3 linked regions of the Elephas maximus indicus genome follow. The protein of the gene in region 1 binds, or shares a complex with, the protein of each later gene. Links are inferred from orthologs where the notes say so. Each region holds a gene or a part of one and is shown in the gene's direction. Other genes may lie near its edges.

Region 1 (7,393 bases):
TTGCTGAGCCCCCACCTTGGCTATCCTCCACCTGGCCTCCAGCTGGCACTGCTTTTCTCTTGGTTTTGTGCCTGACCCTGGATTCCTGGAGTCCAGCAGAAATGTGGTTTGTGTTGGGTGTGCTGGCTGGGCTGTCCATGCAGGGGAAATGGGTTGGAGTGACTGAGAGGCTTGGCTTCCCCCAGAAATGAGTGCTGCCTGGCAGGCAGACCTGGCCAGGTGTGACCCATGAGGGTGCAGGTGTGGGACCTTTGGGCTCCTGTCCTGGACTCAATCACAGTGACCACAGTGGCATCGTTGCTGGCAATGGCCATGTGTGTTGCTCCCAGCCCTTCCTTAGTGGCCTCCTTGTAAAAGGGGGTAAGGTGAGGTGAGATACTCTCTGAATGCGGCTGGTGCCAGGTCATGGGAACAGAAACCACCTCAGCTGCAGGGTAACGTCAGGCGGCGGGTCACACACAAAACTGTCACCGGCCAGCAGGGGCTGGAGTGGGGATTTGTGAGATTTTGGGGACTAGGATCCCCGGGGAGTTGTCTGCCTGAAGTGCTATAGGCTCTGGGGTTGGCAGGAGAATGGGATCAGCCTTGACAGTGATCCAAACACCAGCCAGGAGGACTGACCTGCCCATCAGGCATGAAGGGCAAGACAAGCTGAGCACAGGAGAAAAAGGAGCAGGAGCAGGTATTGGTGCAGTTCAGGGCCAACGTGGGCTTGGCAACCACAGCAGATGCATCTCTCAGGAAGGTCACCTGCCACTCCTGCAGGCACTTTCTCCCTGGTCACAGGCCCGGAGCCCACAGCCCAGCCCAACGCCCCACTCGTCCTGCCCTGCAGGGTCCCACCTTTGCCGCACCTCCCTGTATGGTTAATTGACACCATCAACCATTGACAGAAAGATGTCACTCCTTGCGTTTCCATCTGATCAATGCTCCGGGGTGGCCTTTTTTTTTTTTTTTTCATCTTTTGGCCTTTATATATACATTTTCTATTTTCACAGAAACAGGGAGACTGTGTGTGTGGTTTAAAAAAAAATCATTTATTGAGATAAAATATGTATATTATAAAATTTACCATTTTAACCATATTTAAAGTGTACAATTCAGTGGCATTAGTTACATTCACAGTGTTGTGCAACCATCGCCTCTATTTGCAGACATTCTCATTACCCCAAAAGGAAGCCCTGTACTCATTAGCAGGCACTCCCCATTCCCCCTCCCCCTAGCCCCTGGCAACCACTAACCTGCTTTCTGTTTCTATGGGTTTGCCTATTTTGGATGTTTCATATAAATGGAGTCATGTAATACGTGGCCTTTGTGATTGGCTTTTGTTTAACCTCATGTTTTCCAGGTTCATCCACATCGTAGCATGTGTCAGGGTCCATTTCTTTTTATAGCTGCATAATATTCCATACTTTGTCTATGCATTCATCTGTTGGTGGACAGTTGGGCTGTTTGTGCGCAGTTTTGTAGGTTTTCTCCTTGATGTTATATATCATGAGCACTTATCTGCAGTGGGTAGGGGCATAACAGATGACACTCCTCCCTCCCCCTCTGCTGAGCTTAGAATTGATGGAAAAAAAGAGGCTCAGGGACAGAGAGATGGAGTCCAGAGGCTTGTGGCCAGGGCTGTGCCGCCAATGGGAAGCCAATTCCCCACTCTGTTAACTGGATGGCCCAGGCTTCTGTCTTCCTTCAGGGCACCCCCTGTGGCACACACACACCTGTGACTCCAGCATATGCGGGGGTGGAGAGACCAGAGGGGCCTATGGAGAACCCACTCCCCTCCGTGGAAACCAAGGGGCACGGGCAGTACGGTTCCCTTAGACCGGCCATTGACTGTGGCCATCCGTCTATGCAGCTGCCCTTCTCCTGGATGCTGGGCCGCACCCAGTTCCAAGGATTGTCCATCTTGCATGACGGACTCCACACCAATCTTGGTTGCCCCAATGCCTCCCCCAGGTCACTTTTCTAAGTGTTCATCCACAGTTGATGGGGCGGACACCCTCAGGGCTTCGAGGTGTCCTTTATTTCAGAGTACCCCTTTTCCACCCAAGTTAGAAAACAGGTCATTTCTGCTCCTACATTTTTCATTTAGTCCTTGGTGAGCCTGAACAAGGCCATCTGTAGTTGATCAAATCTCCGTTAAAGCCTCTGGTGTCAAACTGCTCTCAGTGAAGGGGTGTTTATCTTTGAAAGGACCTTTGTTCTGAATGGAGAGCACTCTGTCCCCACACCTCTGGCCTGTTCTCAGCTCAGGGTGGCTGGCCCAGGGCCCCTGCCCAGGTCACCCTGCTTAGTCGAGAACACCTTCCTCTGCCTCTCTCTCCACAGCCTTCCTCACCATCTCTCTGGTCTGGCCCCTGGTGGGGGCATCTTCTGAGCTCACCCCCTCTGGCCAATGCTAGGTAGTCTGCTCTCCCCACCCTCATGACCATCATCCTCTTAGCAGGGGCCGCTGCCTCCCCCAAGGCTTTCTGACCCCCTTCTTGTCCCTGCAGGCTGGAGGCCCCCAGGAGTGGGAGGCCCAAGGGCCCTGTTCTGGTCCCAGGGCCTGGGGAAACCCTCTGCCTTGGGCCAGGAGGAAGATGGGCATGGACACAGCCCCCAGAGCCTGGCCTGGCCATTGTGGCAGCTCTGCAGATCGAAGGCAAGCTCTGGGGCCCTTGTCTGGGAGTGGACAGGGCCAGTGTCTGGGATGGCCTGCTGTCTGTCCAGCCCACCCAGGGCTGCCTCCCACCATGAGACTCTGCTACAGCATGAAAGCAGCCACTCTGTCTCCTCCAAGGTTCTGAGGCTGCACCAGGCAGGGGATGGTGCACAAGGGTCTCCTGTGCCCAGCACTCTGAGCCTGTGTCTGTCCAGTGTTGGCTCAGCAGTACAGCCCCTGCCCTTACTGCCCTGAGGCATGACGATGGCCCCAGAAGGTGGCCTGGGCCCTTGATGGGCTGGGAACCCTTCCTTAGTGCCCCTCCTTCCATACCACTCACCCCAGGCAAGCATCACAGGGGGCAACTGGGCAGGAGGTTGACTAGGGGCTCCAGGGGCTCCATGCCAGGACTTCTGCCCTTGCCGGAAGCCGTGAAGAATAAGGGGGGTGGACAGCTGAGGTTGAGCAGTGTCCAGAAGACGAGGTGACTGAACAGGCGGTCTGGGCCGCCTGGGTGAGCGGCATGGGTGAAAGCATGGGGGTGGGCAAATAACCAGACACATTGAGGAGTGGGTGGTGTGGGGGAGATGCCACTGGGTGAGCCCTAGGGGGCTTTAGAGCAGGGGCAGCCCAGATGACAGCTGTTGGGGAAGTTTGGGTGTTGAGGAGTCCTGGTCCAGGTGGTGACAGGTCCCTAAATGGCCCAGGCTGTAAAATGGGGGTACAGCTTCCCCTGGGGGTTGCTGGGAGCATCCAGAGAGGTGCTAGGCCTGATACCGGCTCTGAGAAGGGGTGGGGCACGGCCGTGATTCCTGGGGATCAGAGACTCCTGGTGGCCACATCCTTCTCTTGGAGAGGTGCTGACAGTGGACTGCGGCCTGGGCAAGGGGCTGGACGTCACTAGGAAGTTCAGCCCCCAGCCACCGGGCCTGCCGGCTAACTTGGGACCCCTACTTCCCCAGTGGGTGGGTAGGCTGAGGGGGGGTCTCCAGGGCCAGCAGGGCCTGAGGCTGCCAGTCCCACTGGTCACCCCGCCCACCCGGGCACGAGGTGGTGAAGCGCGAAGGGCGGTGGAAAGAGCGGCTGGGCATGGGCCGGGCCTGTGGGCGCCGACCTGAGGAATCCTAGGCACGTCGATCACCGGGGCTGCCTTCAGTCGTGTTGGCCGCAGAAAATCGTGGGCGATGCGGGGTACGCCCACATTCCCCTAGATCCAGAGCTCCCTCTCCAGGACCTGCCCCTCGCCGAGACTCCACCCCCCGCCCAAGGAGCAGTCCTGCGCTGTGGCTTTACCTTGCGCTCTCGGCCCCGCCTCCCCGTTTGAGGCCACACCCCCACGTTGTGGCACTACCCCCACGCTCTCGGGCCTATCCCCGCCCTCTGGCTCCGTCGCGCTCTCTTGGCCCCGCCCCCTCACTTCCGGGAGGCGCAGGCGGGGGTTCTCGGTCTTGGGCTTCGGCGCTTTGGGCTCGGGCTCCCAGCTCGGGGACGCGATCGCGGCTGCCACCACATCAGGAGCCGCCGGGGTCGGGCCAGAGTCGGGCCGCAGCCGCGTCCGCCGGGAGCGGACCGGTGAGAGCGGCGGCCGGACCTCGGCGGCACCCTAGCGCCGCGCCCTCCCCGTGCTGGCCGCGTCCGGGCCCCGCGTCCCGCGCTCCGCGCGGCCGCCGCCGCCGCCGCCGCCGCGGCCGCCGCCGCCGCCGCGATGGGGGCCGTTCCGGGCCGCGCCCCCGCCGGGTCCCGCCTGCCGCGCCGCAGCTGAGCGCATGGGCCGCGCCGCTCCGCGCCGGGAGCCGGGCCGGGGCCCCGCCGCCGCGGGCGGTGAGTAGGGCGGGCGGGCCGGGCCCATTGTAGGCCGCACTAGGCCGGCGGGCGTGCGAGGTGCGGGCCGCGGCGCGGGACCCGGAAGAGGGCTCCGAGGCGTGCAGGCCGGGGTGCGGAGGGGACGTGCAGGGGTGCGAGGGCTGAGCCGGGGACGTTTGGGCTCCGAGGGGATGCACGGGGTTCGAGGGCGTGCGGAGAAGCCTTGGGGGTTGAGAGGTATCCTGGGAAGATGTTGGGGTCCAGCCTGCCAGGCAGGGGATGGGAAGGCAAGGCCCTTGCCACAGAGACGTGTTAAGGGGGATGAGTGGGCTTGGTTCAGAAAGAGCAGGCCCTTGGTCTAGGTGTGTGGAAGAGAGTGAGGAAGACCCAGGATTCTGAGAGAGGGAGTGCTCTCAGGAGAAGGGTCGAGGTCTCAGCAGCTGGGTGTGTTTGCATGATGCAGGGTGGGTGCTGTTGTCCGTTGGCCTGGGGCAGGTTTCAGGGTGCAGGTGGGGTCAGAGTGGCTGCTGGGGCCAGAGGTCAGTGCAGGAGTTCTGGAGAGCGCAGCTGTGGAGTGCTGTTCTCCTTATCCCCCAGCAAAAGTAGGAGTAAGGGCGTCCAAAGCCTTGGCAGGCCCTCCCTTTCTGTGGCAGAGGTGCTGGGGCTCAGCTTGTCTGAGTACCCGCTTTTCCTGGCCTCCACACCCCCTGTTATCTTGCCTAAAACCGGGTCTCTCTTGTGGGTCTTCGTTTCTATCCCCACCCCACAATTTGGAATTCGACCCCCCCCCCCACGCACCCATGAAACCAGGGCTGCACAGCTGTGGCAGCAGAACTTTTTAACTCCTCAGGAGGTCAGTAGGGATGATAACATCAGTCCTCTGGGATTTTCCTGAGCCCATCCCTAAGTTAATTTATAAAGGGTCCTCATTGTGCACAGCGGCCCCTCCCTCTTGGCTCATCTGTATTCTTTGCATCTTTAGGCAGATCTCATGTTTACTTGGATCCACAGGCCGTGGTCTGGAGAAGCACATACGTCTACACCTGACCAACCAGAGATAGTCAGCAGTAGCTCAATTTCAATTTAAAGAAATTCTGTTCGGTACAAGGGTGGGAAAGCATGTAAATCATGGTGCTTCTGCTTGATTTTCAGCTGGTTCTGACCTTTCAGAAAGGCTGATCGTTAGAAATTCAGGTGTTGGGGGATGGATTGTATGTAAAGCAGTAGCCCTGACCATTCAAGAGTTTAATTAATGGACTATTGGGAAAATGTCAGAGTTATACTGTTACATCTGCTCTCCATCTAAATAAAAAGTTCGGAAGATAACGTTTGAGTAAAATCTATCATCTCATCTCTCTACCTACCTACCTACCTAGGCACAGGTGTAGTGGTTCGGTTACTTGAGGTGGAGGGTGCTGCCATGGTCCAGGGGTGTGCCCAAGCCAGGACCAGAAGAAATGTAAACAGTGTCAGGCTTATAGATCGCTTTTTACGGATTCACTTTATTGATGGTGGTTCCAGGCTGTGGGCCAGAGTTAGTGTTTGTGGCTACTTGGCGCAGACCTGAATTAATACAGCTGTTCTGTGTGTGGTGTGTATGTGTGCACACTGAATAGTACACCTGTGTCTTAGTTGGAGCCCAGGACTGAGACCACGAGAGCAGGTTTATGCTGTCAGTAGTTTGTCAGGGTGTCTCCGTGCTTCAGGGACACCAAAGATCTCCGTCAGTGGACGGCCAAAAATAGATGAGAATGTTGGGAAAAGTTTCTTTTAGCCTGTGAAACTAGTTTAGCATGATTAAGGTGGATTTGGTTCTCAGATGAATTGAAATGTCATTCTTGAAAGACACCTGCAACTTTGTGATGAAAGGTTAGATCTAACAGCCCCTTAAGAGCAGGGACAGTAACAGATGCGTAATTAAGTTCCCACTTAGAGTATTGTTTGGTAAGTGATTTTTTCATGTGTCTAGTGACCTGGTTCCTCCTCATGGTGTGTGCACTGCAAGGGTCCCAGGGGCGTGTCATGTTGGCATGTGCAGAGATACAGACACAGGAGGGATTGCTTGTGGCTGACAGGGCTGAGGGACAGCGACTTTTGTGGCAAAGTGGCCATGAGCGGCGGGACACCACAGCCAAGGGGCCTTGACCTTAACCAGCAGGCATTCCTGCTGAGGCCACTGTTGCAGCCTGCCCAGCAGTTTTCATGAAAAGTCACTCGCTGCAGAAATGTTTTCCAGTGTGTCTCGGGTCTGGCCCCAGGTGGAAGCAGGGCCCGGCAGCATGGGCCTTAGGCTTCAGAAGGCTGCCCTCTAGACTAGTCCTCGGGTTTCACTTTGCACACCCTGGCCTCTTTAGCACTCCGGAAAACCTGTGATCTCCAGCATTTGTATAGCTGGGACCTCTTAACCTGGTGGCTGATGCAGGGAGAGAGAGGGTGAGGTTAGCAGGAATGGTTGTGGGCTCCTTGAGGGTGTGGTGGGGGGCCCTGAGGACCAGGCAGAGAGTCAGTCTGTCTGAGCCTTGTGTCCAGGACGATCTGATCCTCATATCCATGCTGGCTTGGGCGACACCAGCAGCAAAACCCTTGAATCTATGACCTCTATGAGGGGAGGGGTGTTTCCTTCAGTTTACGGAATTCAGTCACATGAGCTCTGTGCTTCCTTGGCTAAAACGTGTGACTGGATTTGGATTTGATTTTTTCTTGTGCCTTCTTGGTTTCTTAAAGTACCTGACGGCCACCTGCTGTCAGATGCTTTCTCACACTGACGGTCAGGATGCCCTGTGCTTTTGCAGGTATCCTCCAGTCACTCAGCCCGTGACGTTGGAGGTGACCCCCAAGTCACGGCTTTTTTGTGTGAGTTGAGAGAGGAACACCTTACTGTGGGTTACACACTGCACGTTGTGCTGAGTGTGAAGGGGTGGTGGACAGAAAACATACCCGCTG
Region 2 (7,890 bases), on another chromosome or scaffold:
CGGCGGCGCGGGGGGAGGGGGCCCGGTCCGGGAGTGCGGGAGGCTGTGGTTGAGGGAGGCGGCGGCAGCGGCAACGGCTAGCGGACACGAGTCACAACCGGACTGAGGCAGACACCTCCGTGGAGCAAGTCATTAGGAGCACCGAGCACCGGAGGCGGCACCGGGATCCCCGGCTCAGGGGAGGGGGGCGCCGGACCGGGAGGAGGGGAGGGGGCGATGCTGGAAGCCATGGCGGAGCCCAGTCCCGAAGGTGAGCTCTCGACCGGCACAGATCGCTGAGCTGGTGGGGGGCGGGCCAGGAATCAATTGGCAAACTTGGAGGTCGAGCCCCAGAACCCAGCGGGGGAGCGCGGGGTGGGGGTCGGGGTCCTGGCCCTGGGGGTGAAGAGCGACGAGTTGAGAGATGCTGGAGGAAGAGGAGTGGGAGACCGGATTGGGGATAGTTGGAGATCCGACGCTGTGTGTGGGGGGGAGGTGGGGGGTGGGAACTGAAAACCCGGAGCCTCGGGGGTTAGGAGCCGAAAGGGCCGCAGGCAGGTTGGGGCCTTGGAGCTGGAAGGTTGGGGGAATCTGGGAGCCGAGAGTTGTTGGGCAGGGAGGACGTGGAAGAGGGCTGAGCGAGGGGCGCGGTAGTTCGCCGAGGTGGGGGAGTTGGTGGTGGTGGTTCCCGAGCTCCCGGTAGTTGCCGCCAGAGACAGCCGGGTGATTGCTGGAGGGTTGGGCAGGTAGTTGTGGGGGGAAAGGGGGGCCTGGTATTGTCTGCGGAAAGGGGACCTGTAACGGGGGTAGTTGTGGAGAGAGGGCCGGGAAGCGAGGAGAGCTAGGTAGTTGCAGAGGGCGGTGGGATCGGAGGGGGGTGAAGACCGGCGAGTCGCGGGAGGGGGAACTGGCGAGGGTTAGAGCCTGGGAGTTGCGGAGGGTGATGGGGGGCGGTCGTGGTGGTTTCTGTGGAGGAAGAGAGTCGCTGATTGTGGGGGGAAGCTAGAGTTTAGGGGTCCGTAGCCTAGTGACTTGGTGAGTACGGGGGCGGAGGGAAGGCGGCCGGAGAGAGCTCGGAACAGGGCCCGGGGGCCCGGCGGGGAACCCAAGAAGCTCGAGACGGGGAGGGGCCAAAGCCCCGGATGGGGGCGGAGGGAGGGCGAAATTGTGGGGAGCGCGGTATGGGGGGGGCAGGTGGGGCCGCGTCCGGGTTAGAGCTCGCTGGTCCGTCCCGGACACAAAGTAGCGTTGAATGTGCGTGCGTGTGGGTTTGGGGTGGAGGGTGAGGGGCGCGCCGGGCCTCGTGCTCGAGTAGAAGGGGCCGGAGGGCGGGGAGCGGTTCAGCGTGGTCATCCCGGACTCGGGGGGCCGGCGGATGGCGTGAGGTTCCAGAGGGCTCGGGGCAGTAGAGTGCGCCTGAGTAGGAACTCGGCACGGTCGCCTTGTGAAGGACGGGGCGGGCGGCGCCCGGGTTCTGCCCTAGGAGCTGTACGGTGGGGTGGGGCGTTAAGAGATCCGAGTAGACTGGAGTCTACAGAAACCGTGAGTTTGGGGGGGGGAGGCGGGGCTCCCGGCCTCCGGTAGGGGGAAGAGGAGCGCTATAACGAGGCTTGGGAGGGCCCCGGGCCCAGGCTCCGCCCCTTGTGGGACGGGAGGGGAGCAGGGACGATCGGGCACAGCTGGGGGCCTGCCGACTGGCTGGGGGACCTGGGAGAACAGGGGGTTCACTTGGGACCTCTAAGGTTTAGAGGTGGGGATTTTAAATGGACTGTTCCAGGGCTTTGACTCAGCTTTTATTGCTTTCACAGATCCACCTCCGACCCTTAAGCCAGAGACTCAGGTGAGTTTTCCCCTACCTTTACACATCAGTATTTATGCTCTCCCCCACCCCCCATGCATCTCTTCTAGCTTTCCCACTTTAGGGATTCCGCCTTTGGGGATGCTTCTCTTAAAACTCCAGTCTGTGCCCTCAGTGTGATCCTTGTTTTCTTCTTTTCAGCCACCAGAGAAACGGCGGAGAACAATTGAAGATTTCAACAAATTTTGCAGTTTTGTTTTGGCCTATGCTGGTTACATACCTCCTAGCAAAGAGGTAGGGTCAGGAGAATAACTGGTTTGAGGATGGTGTCTTTGGATTCTTGGAAGGGCTGTTGAGTAAATGAGGTTGTGTTAGTTATATATGTAAGACTAGAGAAATTGGAAACGTGAGGGTTCTGTTGGGAAAACGAGTATTTGCGGGGGAGGATAATAGAGATAGGTGGCTTGGGTAACAGTGATGGAAGGGGCTCTTGGGTTGTTAGTCAAGATTTTGAAATGGTTTTGGGGGTACTGTTAATGGAAGGTGTTTCCGGATGAGTTTTAGGGAGGTGAAAATGGTAACAAAGGAGGCAGTACAAAAGTAGATTAAGAAATGTGCCTCTGATTTGTGGGAATACAGTATTTCAAAGGCCCTGGTAAGGAGCAGATAGTTAGAATTTGAAAACAGAGGTAACATGGAAGTGCTCAAGAACAGATGCTGATAGAAATTGGGGTCTGGATAAATTTTCTGAGTGAGCTTTGTTGGTTGGGGCAGGATATTTTGGGGGAGATCTAGTCCCTGGTTTTCAGGTTGGGTTTCTGGAGGGGCTTAAACGCCACTGGGCCCCCTGCTGACTCTGGTCTCTTTTCCCTGTTAAGGAAAGTGACTGGCCAGCCTCCGGCTCCAGCTCCCCATTGCGAGGTGAGAGTGCAGCAGACAGTGATGGCTGGGACTCAGCCCCCTCAGATCTCCGAACCATCCAGACCTTTGTTAAGAAAGCAAAGTCATCAAAGAGAAGGGCAGCCCAGTCGGGTTCCACCCAGCCAGGACCTCCAAGGTCCACTTTCTCTCGCCTTCAGGCCCCTGACAGTGCCACCCTGCTTGAGAAGATGAAGCTCAAGGACTCTCTCTTTGATCTAGATGGCCCCAAAGTGGCATCTCCCCTGTCCCCCACATCCCTGACACATGCATCCCGGCCCCCTGTTCCTCTCACCCCAGTGCCCCTTTCTCAGGGGGATCTCACCCAGCCTCCTCGAAAGAAGGACCGAAAGAACCGAAAGTTGGGGCCAGGAGGTGGGGCTGGCTTTGGGGTTCTTCGGAGACCTCGGCCAACCCCTGGCGATGGGGAAAAGAGGTCTCGAATCAAGAAGAGCAAGAAACGGAAGTTGAAAAAGGCAGAGCGAGGGGATAGACTCCCACCTCCTGGGCCTCCCCGGGCACCCCCCAGTGATACAGACTCTGAAGAGGAGGAGGAGGAAGAGGAAGAAGAAGAGGAAGAGGAAATGGCAGCAGTGGTAGGGGCTGAAGCCCCAGCCCCTGTGTTCCCAACACCCCCTGAGGCTCCTAGGCCCCCTGCTACAGGGCCCCCTGAAGGAGCTCCTCCCACTGACAGTGAAAGCAAGGAGGTGGGCAGCACTGAAACAAGCCAAGATGGAGATGCCAGCTCTAGTGAAGGCGAGATGCGGGTCATGGATGAGGACATCATGGTAGAATCAGGTAAGGGGGTTGAGAGCTGTTCAAGGGTAGCTGGGAGAATGGAGTTGGGGGTGTTGTGGACTTAAAAACTCAAGCAGAATATCAAACTTCCTTTTCCCCAGGTGATGACTCGTGGGATCTGATCACGTGTTACTGCCGAAAGCCCTTTGCAGGACGGCCCATGATTGAGTGCAGCCTGTGTGGGACGTGGATCCACCTCTCCTGTGCTAAGATTAAGAAGACCAATGTCCCTGACTTCTTTTACTGCCAAAAATGCAAGGAACTTCGGCCAGAGGCGCGGCGGTTAGGGGGCCCTCCGAAATCTGGAGAGCCTTGACATCACCAGTGCCAGGCTGGAACTTCTAATTGACAACATGACTTGGGAACTGAGCCTTGGGGTCCTCAGCCCATCCCCTGAAGCTTGGACATTGTCCCACTTCAAGGCAGGAACTCCCAAGGGAGACTTGCTCTGGAAATGAGGGTCTCATGTTCCCATCCTCCCCTTCCTCCTCCCCCTCCAACATCTGGACTTGAACGTGGACCCACTGCAGTTGAGGGCGAGAGGTTGTCTGGGTCCCTAGACACACAATCCCTGCCCATTGGACCTGCCATCCTTCACTTTTTGGGTCAGGGTTGGAATTGGGAAGGAATGGGGCAGCTGTCTATAAAACTCTAGTGTAAATATTAGCACCCCCTTCCCTCATCGTTTTTTCTCCTATCTCACTCCTCATTTATTTTCTTATACACCGGTTGTATTTTTAATTTTGGACTTCCCCTTTTGGGCATGGCAGCTCAAAGGTGGAGTACCAAAGTCTGGCCGAGAGGGGAAGGAAAGCAGAAAGGTGACATTTCTTTCATCTCTTGTTTTTAATAATATCGGCTAGCTGTTTGTACAGATGGCCCGTGTGTTGTAAATAAAGCGGAGTGGGCTCTTTTGTGTTCATAGCCCTTACTGTCCTGCATCGGAGGGAGGTTTTGGGAAAGATGGGAGAACGCCTCAGAGTCCCAGCTAGAACCGCCCCTGCTCCTGGGCCTTTCCCACCCAGGATGCTCAGGCCTCAGTTGGCATTGCCCCATCCCACTCCCTGCTTAGGACCCCCACACGCACACTCCAGTGGATCAGAGTTGCCTCGCGCTCCCAGGTGTGGTGGGACTGGCAGCCTGCTGCCTGAGGGCAGAGGCCCAATTCAGCCAGGGTGCTCAGAGGACGAGGGTGGGGACACTTTCGGGGGCGGGGCAGTTGAGGGTTGGGAGACCGTTGCTGAGGGCAGCGATCACGTGGCAGGGGCGCGAGGCGGAGCTACGCAGTCACGTGACTGGGAAGTGTCACGTGATCCAGGGACGGTGCGGGGGGAGCGTGGCGGGCCGAGTTAGGCCACGTGACGTGAGCAGAGGTGGGCGGGGCACTGGGGGGCGCCCGCGACGTCGGCGGCAGTGGCGCGCGGCGGCGGCGGAGTCCGCGTCTTTAGGTCGCGCCCCCACGGCCCGCCCCCGCCCCGGCTGTCCGCTTGTCTGACCCCGACCGTCTCCATCCCTTGGGCACGTCTGGGGGACTGGTCCGGTTCTGTGCCTGCCCGCGCGTCAGTGTGCGGCTGTGCGCAGGCGCGGCGGGGGTGCTTAGCCCCTTTGGGTGGGCGGCGGAGCACAGGAGCGCGCGGGCGAGACCATGGCGGGCAGCGGCGCGGGGGGCGGTGGTGTCGGGGAGACGAAGGTGATTTACCACTTGGATGAGGAAGAGACTCCCTATCTAGTGAAGATCCCCGTCCCCGCTGAGCGCATCACCCTCGGCGATTTCAAGAGCGTCCTGCAGCGGCCCGCGGGAGCCAAGTACTTTTTCAAGTCCATGGATCAGGATTTCGGGTGAGCGCGAGGCCTAGACTGATGGGGGCTGTGCTGGAGTGGATTAGGCGATATTGAAGGGCCCAGGTCTATTCTGGGGCATATTGGGATTTTTCTGGTCGATAGTGGAGTCGATTGTACTAAGCTGGGGGTAGATTGACTATCCCGGGACCAACGAGATTGTGCTTGACAAGGTTGAGGCACACGGAGCTGTAGGACAGACTGGGCTATCCTAAACTAGATTACAGAAGATTAGACTGTACTGAAATATATTAGGGCGAACTGGTTTATTTGGGGGTATTCTGGACTGTACTGAGCCAAGTGGGTCTGTCCTCTGGTAGTTCAGTATATTCTGAGCAGTTCTGTAGCACCCAGGCTATTTAGGGATATTCTTTTATCTCCTGATGTAGATTGGCCGGCCTTGGGGCAATTTTGGGGATTCTGGTGTGTATTAGGGCACACAGGGTTGTTTTGGACATTCTGTTGTGATTAGGTGCTGTCAAGTTGGTTCTGACTCATAATGACATCGTGTATAACAGAACGAGTTGTTAGTGGGCTCTGTGCTATCCTCACAGTAGTATGTTTGAGCCAGGTGTTGGCAGCCACTGTGTCTGTCTGTCTCATCGAGGATCTTCTTTTTCGCTGACTCTCTGCGTTGTAAAGCATGATGTTGTCCAGATATTGGATGTTTTTGTGTATAGTGATACAGACAGTACTGTACTGGGATCTTTTAGGCTGTCCTGAAGTGGAGTAGGCTATTCTGGAGACACTTAAAACAAAAACCAAACCCAGTGCCGTCTAGTCGATTCTGACTCATGGCGACCCTAAAGGACAGATTAGAACTGCCCCATAGAGTTTCCAAGGAGCACCTGGTGGATTTGAACTGCCAACCTTTTGGTTCACAGCCGTAGCACTTAACCACTACGCCACCAGGGTTTCCTGGAGACACTTAGACCATTCCCATTTCTAGTGGGGCAGACGTGGTTGTATTGGTTGTTCTAGTTTCTATTGGGGCAGACGTGGTTTTACTGGGTCAGAGTACTGGAGCAGACAGGGTTGTTGGGGGTCTGTACTAATACAGGGAGCTTTATTGAGAATTTCTAGTCTATATTGCTGCAGACAGCTATGTGTGGGCATGTTCTAGGCTGTGCTAGAGCTAACCTGGAGTGATTTGGAACATTTTGGATTATTCTGGGCTAGATTGGGACTATAAATAATGCGAAGTAAATCCTTTTGTGTGTAGAGCTTTTGGGACTGAGCCATCTACTTTCTCAGCCTCAGCTTTTCCGAAGGCAGGTTGGATTAGGCTGGGATAGCCTGGGTGCTACCTAGAGTGAGTGGTTAGCTTTGGGAGAGTGGTCCTGTCTTGGGAGTTATCCTGAGTTTCAATCAAGGTTCTTCAGTTTGTCAGCAGTGTAATTTTGGGCAATTTATTGAACTTTTGTGCCTTGATTTCCTCACCTGTGAGATGGAGTAAAACGTTTAGCAAAGGTGTACAGCCCAGGATATTCACCGAGTGGTAGTTATTATTAGAACTGAGGCTGACTAGTCCGTAAACTAGGTTATGGAATAACTCATTTTGGAGTAGGCTCGGTTATGTTGAGACTGGGTTAAGTTGGGAAGGAAGCGACATTATTCTGAGACAGATTGGTAGTGACCGAGCTGTTTTGACATGGACCAGGTCACATTCTGATAGCAAATGGCTTGAGTTGGCATATATTCAGGCTCACAAAACCATATTAGGTGAAGACAGGATACTCTAATTTTGGTGCGAGGGCATGTGCCTGAGAGAGGAGGAACCAAGAGGAACCAAAGTAGACAGTCTCATGGTTCATATATTCATTTAGCCAAATATCTGCTAGTACGTAATAAATGTTGTGTACAGTGCTGTGTGGTCAGAACATGGTGTTGAACGGAATAGACATTAATGATTTGATGTGGGGGTTGAGAAGAAGGTTAAGCCTAATTCGCCTTAAGGAACCCAAGGGAGAACTAACTCACCAGGCTGGACTTCGGGATTTGTCAGGATGACCTTTCCGTCTTGAGTAGATTGCTTAGGGCAGAGTTTTGTGTTAGGTGAAGCACAGGAGAATCAGAAGATGGGTTCCCTCCTCCTTGAGGCTTTCAGCCTAATGAGGAGGTAACTAGTCTTTGGTTTAACGGGCATTTTCATCTAGGCAAAGACAGCATGTTTGGCTAGATCTCTGGAAGTGAGCTAGAGAAAACTGAAGGAAAGCATGAGTGAAGGAGATGTAGGTGAGGACCAAAGCCATTTTGGGAAGAAGGTGTACGAAGAGCAGAGATGGAGGCTGGGGGATCTACCAGCAAGGCTCCTTAGGTTAGAAAGATATTTTCAGCTGCTGCGGTAACCATGACGGAGCCTTGGTGGCACAGTGGTTAAGCACTTGGTTGCTTGCTGAAAGATTGGCCATTCAAATCCACCAGCTGCTTTGCGGGAGAAAGATGTGGCAGCCTGCTTCTGTAAAGGTTACAGCCTTGGAAACCTTGTGGGGCAGTTCCACTCTGCCCCACAGGGTCTCTTTGGGTCAGAATTGACTCAGTGGGAATGGGTTTGGTTT
Region 3 (7,134 bases), on another chromosome or scaffold:
TTTTGAGGTTTTCAGTTTCTCCTGGTTTCAATTTAAAATGCAGCTGATTTTGAGCAAGTCACTCAATCTGTATAGTGCTTAATTTCCTCATTTGTAAAAACAGAATAGCTTCCCTTCATACTCTACTGGCTTGCTGTGAGGACCAAACGATACAATGCCTGTTAAAGTGTTTCCTAAGCTGCAAAGTGCCATCTAAATGTTTTTATTACTACAGAATACATGGAGGCAGTTCATTGTACAGTTTAACTTATAAATATCATTTTGTGGACACTCTCAGTAACCACACAGAATTCGGCTTAGAATTACTTACTGATCTCTACGTGAGACCATCTCATGAGCCCAGGAGCAAACCAAACTGACACTATACTGAGGGCTGTGTTCACATCAGATGCCACAGTAAGAAGGCATAAGGTGATAAAGCAAGACATATGGAGGAATGTGGGGACTCTGTGAGAGAGAAAAGTACGGAGCAGGGCCTAAGAACAGGGGATATGAATCCTAGCTCTGCTACTTCAGCTTTGTGGACCTGAAGCAAGTTAGTAAAGCTTTCTGAAAAGCAGGGTAGGATTGTTATGAAGTTTAAATGAGACAGTATGTGTGAAGCACTTAAGAACAATGCCTAGCACGTTGTAAACGCTCAATAAATATTAACTGTTTACTATTACTATTATAAACTGGTTAGTAGTTGACAGTAGGTGGGAAGGTAACATTGGATTTGAACAGTTCAGGGAAGCAATCACTAAATGTTTGCGTAGTTCTGTATTTCCTCATAAACTTCTCTCTCCAGCTCTAATTCTTAGACTGACATACATACTTTTTTTCCTATAAAATTTCCCTCTCGTTCAGATTTTTGTTTTAACAGCATCAGTTCAAAATATTTGAAGGCAGCAACAGTAAAGCTAAATATAACCTCAAGTTAGGTCATTTTTGTATTACAAAATAATACCCGTGTTTCCAATTTGTGTAACCTAAACATTTCCTATTCACTTTCTTGCTGGTATAAGAGGAAGGCAGGATTTAAAGTGTTGCCTCACAGCATTTTCAGGAGCAGTGACAAAGGCTTTTCCTAATAGCATGGAGAGCCACCAATCAGCTGACAAGCTTGCCATGCACTGAGTTGGCTTTTAATGTTCTTTACCCTCCCCCATGACATCCACTGATCTCATGTTCTCTCTTAATTGCAAAGAACTAGGGCCTCTACTGCTCTGGGGCTACAAAATCTATGCTCTGGTTAAATACTGCAAATTGATTGCCTGTTTGCCACGTCTACCCCAGGATGTTTTTAGTTTGCCCTGCAATGTTTTAAGTATTGGTTGTCAACATTTAAAAATCCAGAGGTTTTACACAAAAATCCAGCTCTTAGTTTAATCTTGGGAAAACAAAAACAACACTGACTATCTCAAAAACACTGAACCAGGTCTTTGAACCTTTTCTGGTTGAAACCTCTGCTGATAATTTGCATTTCTAACAAGTTCCCAGGCGATGCTGATGCTGCTGGTTAGGGACCAATTCTGAGAACCACTTAGCAGAGCAGTGGTTCTTAAAATTTATTATACATTAAGAATCACCAGGGGGTTTTATTAAAATGTAGATTCTAATTCAGTTTATCTGGGATAGAAATGCAAATTCTCAGCAGGGGTTCGAACCTGAACTAACTGGTTGGAAGCCCTGCACTGAACCCACATTCCTGAGGGCAACAATCTGCTAGGGCTGAGGAGCAGCTGCTCATTTTAGTTCCGGCAGGGATACTCCAAGTTGCCATATTCTCTATCATTCGCCATTGTCTTACACCAGGCCAGTTTCACTCATTTGCTTTACTTGTCTAGACTTTTCCTGTCTCCCATCAAAGCTTACTTTGTTCTATCCCAAGTCCTTCATCAGACTTTCCAAGCCAACTGCTAGGCAGTCTGATCAAATGAGTACTTTTACATGTGCTTTCTGGAGACAGCATCTTGAAAGTAGTGAGCCTGTAGGTGGAAATTACAGGTCCCAGGGAATCATAATCAGCATGGCAACTGTCTACTCTACTTTCCCTGCTATCCTGATGTAGCCACACCTCACTGTCCTCTGACAAAAACAAAAAAAACAAAAAAAAAACCTGGCTCTCCAGTAGAGCAATGAAGGCTGGACAATGTGTGAAATCTACTCAAATAGTGCTTTTATAGACGACCCTGGTTCCGGAGGACCCAAAGGCACTCAGGGCTATGCTGACTCCGCTTCCTTAGAGATCTCAGGATATCCGGCCTGACGGCATCTCCCCTCACCTGCTTTTGGCCCCTTCTGCACCGGGCAGTGGCGCCCAAGGAGTGCGCGCATCCAGAATGAGCTCATTTCTTAGGGGCGTTTCCAGAAGGCCCAGCTGGGCCGTGCGCATGAGGCGTAGTCAGCCTCGCGCTGTCAATGGTCCCCGCGGCCGGGCGGGGCGCGGCTGCCCGGGGGCGCTGCTTTTCTGGAAGCTTTGTCCCCACTTTCGTGTCTGAGAAATCGCAGCCGGCCGGAGGGGTCCCTTGGGGCCTCCTGGGGAAGACGCAGGTCCTCGGGACGCGCGATCTCAGGCTGAAGGATGGCTCGGGCGCAGAGACTTAGCCGCACCCCGCCGAGAGCCTCCAGGGAGTGCGGAGAGCCCCCGACCCTTCGCTGGCTTAAGCACTAGCAGAGCCCAGCTCCGCCGACCACGGGTTTGGGACAGGCTGCGCGAAGCGGGTGCGCGGAAAGCCCGCGCTCCCTGTCTGCGGCTTTCCTACGGGTTGGGAGCAGCCGCCAGCGAGTAGGCGACACCGCCCGCCACGACCCCAGACGAGCTCCTAGCGCCTGGGGCCGCCGCCGTAGGTTGTAGGCCAATCACACTGCAGCTAGGTCTTGCGATAGGAGAGCCGTCAGTGCCGATTGGCTATCGCAACGAGTTTCGGCCTCCCTCCCATTCCCTCCGCTCTAAAGCTTCAAGCCAATAAGAAGGCGCTTTATAAACGTCCTCCCTTAGCTTTCTTCTTCTCCCCCCCTCGGCTAGGGAAGAGCAGTTCTGATTGGTTAGACTCTCCTCGGATGCCCCCTTTCCTCCTCCAATCACCGAGTGAGGGACACGCCCAGCAGAGTTTTTCAGCCAATTACAAAGCGGCCGCGGCTCTCAGCAGTACAGTTTCACCTGGAACTCTGGGTTTCACCGACCTTAACTCTTCATGCTTTTTCCAGAGAGACGGCGGCTCTGATTGGCTACTGTTGCCGCCGTCGAATTTCTCCTTCAGCCAGCCACAAAACAAGGCGAATCCCCCTTGCTCCCGTTCGGTTATCCTCGGCATTTTCCGCTCCTCGGGCGTGGATTTCCGGCGGCACTCTCCAATTGGCTCTTCAGGTCGATCGGCTTTTTCCGGGAGGAGCCGCAAACAAACGACGCCCGTGATTGGCCCCGCTCGGGCTTCGGCTCCCCAGCCGAAGGGGGCGGGCGCGGGGCTCGGCCGGCGATTCCCAGACGCCTGTTACGCGGGCGGCGGGGCGCTGGGCGGTGTAAGGCTGGGTGGGGGAGGAAGGAGGCGGAGGACGAGCAGCAGGGGGGAGGGGGTGCGGCGAGGAGCTAGGCGACTGCGCAGACGGCTCGCCTCACACAGAGCAGCCCCCGAGCCGGGCGAATGCGGGCTTGTGCCGCCGCCGCAGCCCGGGCCGAGTGACAAAGGAAGGAAGGAAGGAAGGAAGCGAGGAGGAGCCGGCCCGCAGCCGCTGACAGTGCTCCGGGCTGGGGCCGCAGCGCGGACGCTTCCTGAGCGGACGCCGAGCCGAGGCGAGGGCCGGGAGGGCGGCCGCGCTGGGGCCGCGGACGGGGAGGGGGCCCCGAGGGACGGAAGCGGCGGCCGCGTTCCCATGTCCCCCGCGTATGGGGAGCAGCCGAGGAGCCGCTGCCTGGGGTCTGAAGGGAGCTGCCTCCGCCGCCGCCGCCGCCATGGCCGCTGGATCCAGCCGCCGCCTGCAGCTGCTCCTGGCGCAATGAGGAGGGGAGCCGCCAGCGCCGCCGCCGCCGCCCGCGTCTGAGCACCTCGCCCTCGGCCGCCGCCGCCGCCGCCGCCGCCGCCGCCGGGCCCGTCTCCAGGCCGCCGGGGCCGCAGCGCTTCCCGTGGCCTCGCCGAGCCACCCCCTCCCCCTGCTCCCCTCCCCCCGCGGCCGGCGGGAGACTCGTGATCCTTCCGCCGCTTCCCTTCTTCATTGACTCGGAAAAAAAATCCCCGAGGAAAAGACAATCTTCACAGGACTTATTTTCAATCAAGTATTTGCCCTGCTGCACGTGATAGGTATTTTTTAGGAGCTTTCTTTTTTCCTCCCCGCCTCCTCCCTGAAAGGGAGGGAGAAGAATTGTATTTTTTTCACCCAAATCATCTATATGTTAAATATCTATACCGATCTGTCTTGAAGGAGAAATCCATCTTTTTTTTTTTTTTGATAATATAAAAGGAGTGCAAAGCCAAGAGGACGAAGTCTTTTTCTTTTTCCCGGGGAGAACTTAATGCTGCATTTATCATTAACCTAACACCCCAACATAAAACAATAGGAAGACAAGAGGAAGGAAGGAAAAGGTGATTCGGGAAGAGAGTGATCATGTCAGGGCGGCCCAGAACCACCTCCTTTGCGGAGAGCTGCAAGCCAGTGCAGCAGCCTTCGGCTTTTGGCAGCATGAAAGTTAGCAGTGAGTATTGATTTTAATTTACAACCCTTTCTCCACGTCGCCCTTAAAATAAGAAACCTTGAAATAGGATTTTAAGGGACTAGACTTGGTAAGAGGCAACCTGGTAATGGAAAAGGATAGAACCTGTCTTCAGTCTAGGATGAGGCAGCTCCCTCTTTTCTCCTCCCAAACCCCTCCCCCGGTCTTATTAACCTTGAATGACAGAATGGGATTTTTTACTTGGATCATTCGATTTGAAACACTGCTTATACTTTTCTTGGCTGTTGTTAGTCCGCTTCACCAAGTGCTTGAGTGTTTGCTCGTTAAAACAGTGATGGAAAGTGTTTACTTGTTCATCCTTTTGAATAAAGAGAAGGACAGGACTTGATTCGTAAACCATTATGCACATTTGCAGAGTGGATGTCTTTTGGCGCATTTTAGTTAGCGCAGCTCTCAGGGGTCATCATAGTTTTGCATACTTAATGGAGACACTAAAAGTCCCAATCTCCTAACCTTTTTTTTCTTGCCTGTGCGACTATACAGAGTATTTGTTCTCCGCCCTGCGGGCTGAACTTACTCAGTGACCAGCGGTCACGTTTGGAGGCAGCCTTGGTTCCTCCTCTGGAAGGGGCCCGGGGAGCCCACAGATGGGAGCACCCCTGCTCGCATTGTCTTCAGTTGTTTAAGTGGTTGAATGTGCTATCGTTAATTTTTCCGTTTTGACACATTCGCAGTTCGCCACTGTATAATTTATGTTTCATCAGAAGGCAACTTGGAAGTAGGTCCCAGTTTCGACTGAGGTTTGTAGTAAACCGAATTGCCAAATAACTGTCACTGACGCATTGCTATCTAAGTTCGCGTTCCCAAAATTGAATTGCATTTGTTACTTGTTCCAGGGGGTCCCTTTTTAGGGCTATTTAAGATACTCTTTCAGTGGTTTCCTCACATTTAGATAATACGGACTTAGTTATAAGACTATCGATTTAGCCCTTCCGTCATAACTTTTGCAGAATGCTGTGGTCCTGGATGTAAGAGGACTATTTGGGCTGTGTTCAGAGTTGTCGCCAGGCTGTATGTACTCTCGTGCCTGGTTTGTGCAGAAAAGTTGAGGTTCTTGAAGTCGTTGCTTTAAGGAATATAACATTGTTCCAATGTATCAGAGTTTGTGGAGATGTTTATTGTATCTTTGATAATGGTGTCTAATGACAACTTATTTAAATACACTTACAGAATTTGATAAGCATGTGTAGGTGGTTTTCTTTATTCCTGAACAAAAGGGATACGCTGAGGGCAAAGGCAAACCATCTTGTTGCTTAGAGGAACTGAGAGAACTGAAGAAGTGAGATATTAAAAGTACATGCTGGCTTGTGAAATTGACTATATCCTTAAGCAACATAAAATGATCGCTTTTAATTGAATTCAAAATTTCAAATCATGTTGGCTTTTGGAACTTGCCTGAAACAGGGTAGGCCAAGGTAATAGCTGAATGGGAGATTTTTTTTGAAAGTTAATTTTTTTCCCCCCTAGTGACTAGCTAATAGAGAATGCAGTGACTAGTAGAGAAGAGGGAAGCTGATGCATCTTTCAGGGAAGGGTCAAGCTTTCTAGGCATTTCATGGGGTCATTTGAAAGGAATATTTAAAAATTCTGGCGTAATTTTCAGCTATGATGAAGCAAATCTTATAATAGCTGCCTAAGAGCCTCTTGTGGTACTGGAGTGTTTGTACGTTTTACATCTTGGTAACATAGTTTAAAAACCACTTGAGATCAATTTTAGGTAATTAACTCATTAGATTTATTTCAGAGAGCAAAATAAAATATCCTATAATGCTAAGCTTTTGGGCTTTTCGTTTCGTTTCCAGGATTTTCTTTGCTTTCCTAATTCTTGGTATTGTGATGTTGACTGAGGATGGAGTAGCTTTTATAAAGTATGTAAAGTGTGTGATTTTCTGTTATTGTATAGGTCAACTAAACATTTAAAAATTAGGAGTTTAATGCTAATTATGTGTTTTTGATAACTTTGACTCTAAGGACATTTTAGAAGAAAGAGGAGTTAAGCATTTTCTGAGTGCTAGCGTTCTAAGGAACTTCTGTTCAAAAGAGAGATACGTAAGACATTGTGGTCCTTAGACTCAAGAGCTTCTGAGAAAGAAGATGAAAACAATAGCGTGATGACTGCAAGATGATAAAAGATAAGTCCCATCCTTTGTTCTGAGGGACAAAGAGTTGAGGGGTGAGGCTGATGGGTTGGAGAGGGAAGACATCCTGTGGAAGGTGCTTTTGAAGACTGGTGTTAAAGGAGGCAGTAACTTGAATTGATAGCGAAGCCTGAGGGATTCTAGGTGGAAGGAATGGACCGAGGCTCAGGCGGTGATTTTTGTATGGGAGACAGCAAGGAAGTTGGCAAATCTGAATTAAAGAGGACTAAGTATGTTTTTTTAAGTAAGAAAATAGGAAGCGCTGGAAGTTGAGAAATATAGGAAGGC

Evidence for each region. The genes of interacting proteins can lie anywhere in the genome.
Region 2: the proteins of AXIN1 (region 1) and DVL2 are in contact, whole or in part, in a crystal structure (PDB 6JCK), measured with the Homo sapiens proteins. The link is inferred for Elephas maximus indicus from reciprocal best matches to the Homo sapiens genes AXIN1 and DVL2. Residues at the interface, in NP_003493.1 of Homo sapiens: Arg821, Tyr823, Lys825, Lys826, Glu830, Phe831, Val835, Val836, Phe837, Glu838, Glu839, Lys857, Glu859, Asp862; in NP_004413.1 of Homo sapiens: Lys15, Ile17, Tyr18, Glu23, Glu24, Thr25, Pro26, Tyr27, Leu28, Val29, Val46, Leu47, Gln48, Arg49, Pro50, Phe81, Arg84.
Region 3: the proteins of AXIN1 (region 1) and GSK3B are in contact, whole or in part, in a crystal structure (PDB 4B7T), measured with the Homo sapiens proteins. The link is inferred for Elephas maximus indicus from reciprocal best matches to the Homo sapiens genes AXIN1 and GSK3B. Residues at the interface, in NP_003493.1 of Homo sapiens: Glu384, Pro385, Gln386, Phe388, Ala389, Glu391, Leu392, Ile393, Arg395, Leu396, Glu397, Val399, Gln400; in NP_001139628.1 of Homo sapiens: Ile228, Phe229, Val263, Asp264, Leu266, Val267, Ile270, Lys271, Asn287, Tyr288, Phe291, Lys292, Phe293, Pro294, Gln295, Ile296.

What each region holds. Positions count from the first base shown.
Region 1 is NC_064830.1:57,641,654-57,649,046, reverse strand, and holds the start of AXIN1 (axin-1), read left to right. Parts: upstream 1-4,384; 5' UTR 4,385-4,468; intron 4,469-4,560; exon of another isoform or gene 4,561-4,581; intron 4,582-7,393. UniProt on the Homo sapiens protein: Component of the beta-catenin destruction complex required for regulating CTNNB1 levels through phosphorylation and ubiquitination, and modulating Wnt-signaling.
Region 2 is NC_064837.1:13,618,431-13,626,320, forward strand, and holds the start of DVL2 (segment polarity protein dishevelled homolog DVL-2), read left to right. Parts: upstream 1-4,881; 5' UTR 4,882-5,138; coding exon 5,139-5,332; intron 5,333-7,890. Other genes in the region: PHF23 (PHD finger protein 23), read left to right, coding at 217-250, 1,788-1,819, 1,979-2,071, 2,656-3,493, 3,595-3,809.
Region 3 is NC_064819.1:10,595,776-10,602,909, reverse strand, and holds the start of GSK3B (glycogen synthase kinase-3 beta), read left to right. Parts: upstream 1-4,125; 5' UTR 4,126-4,581; coding exon 4,582-4,669; intron 4,670-7,134. UniProt on the Homo sapiens protein: Constitutively active protein kinase that acts as a negative regulator in the hormonal control of glucose homeostasis, Wnt signaling and regulation of transcription factors and microtubules, by phosphorylating and inactivating glycogen synthase (GYS1 or GYS2), EIF2B, CTNNB1/beta-catenin, APC, AXIN1, DPYSL2/CRMP2, JUN, NFATC1/NFATC, MAPT/TAU and MACF1.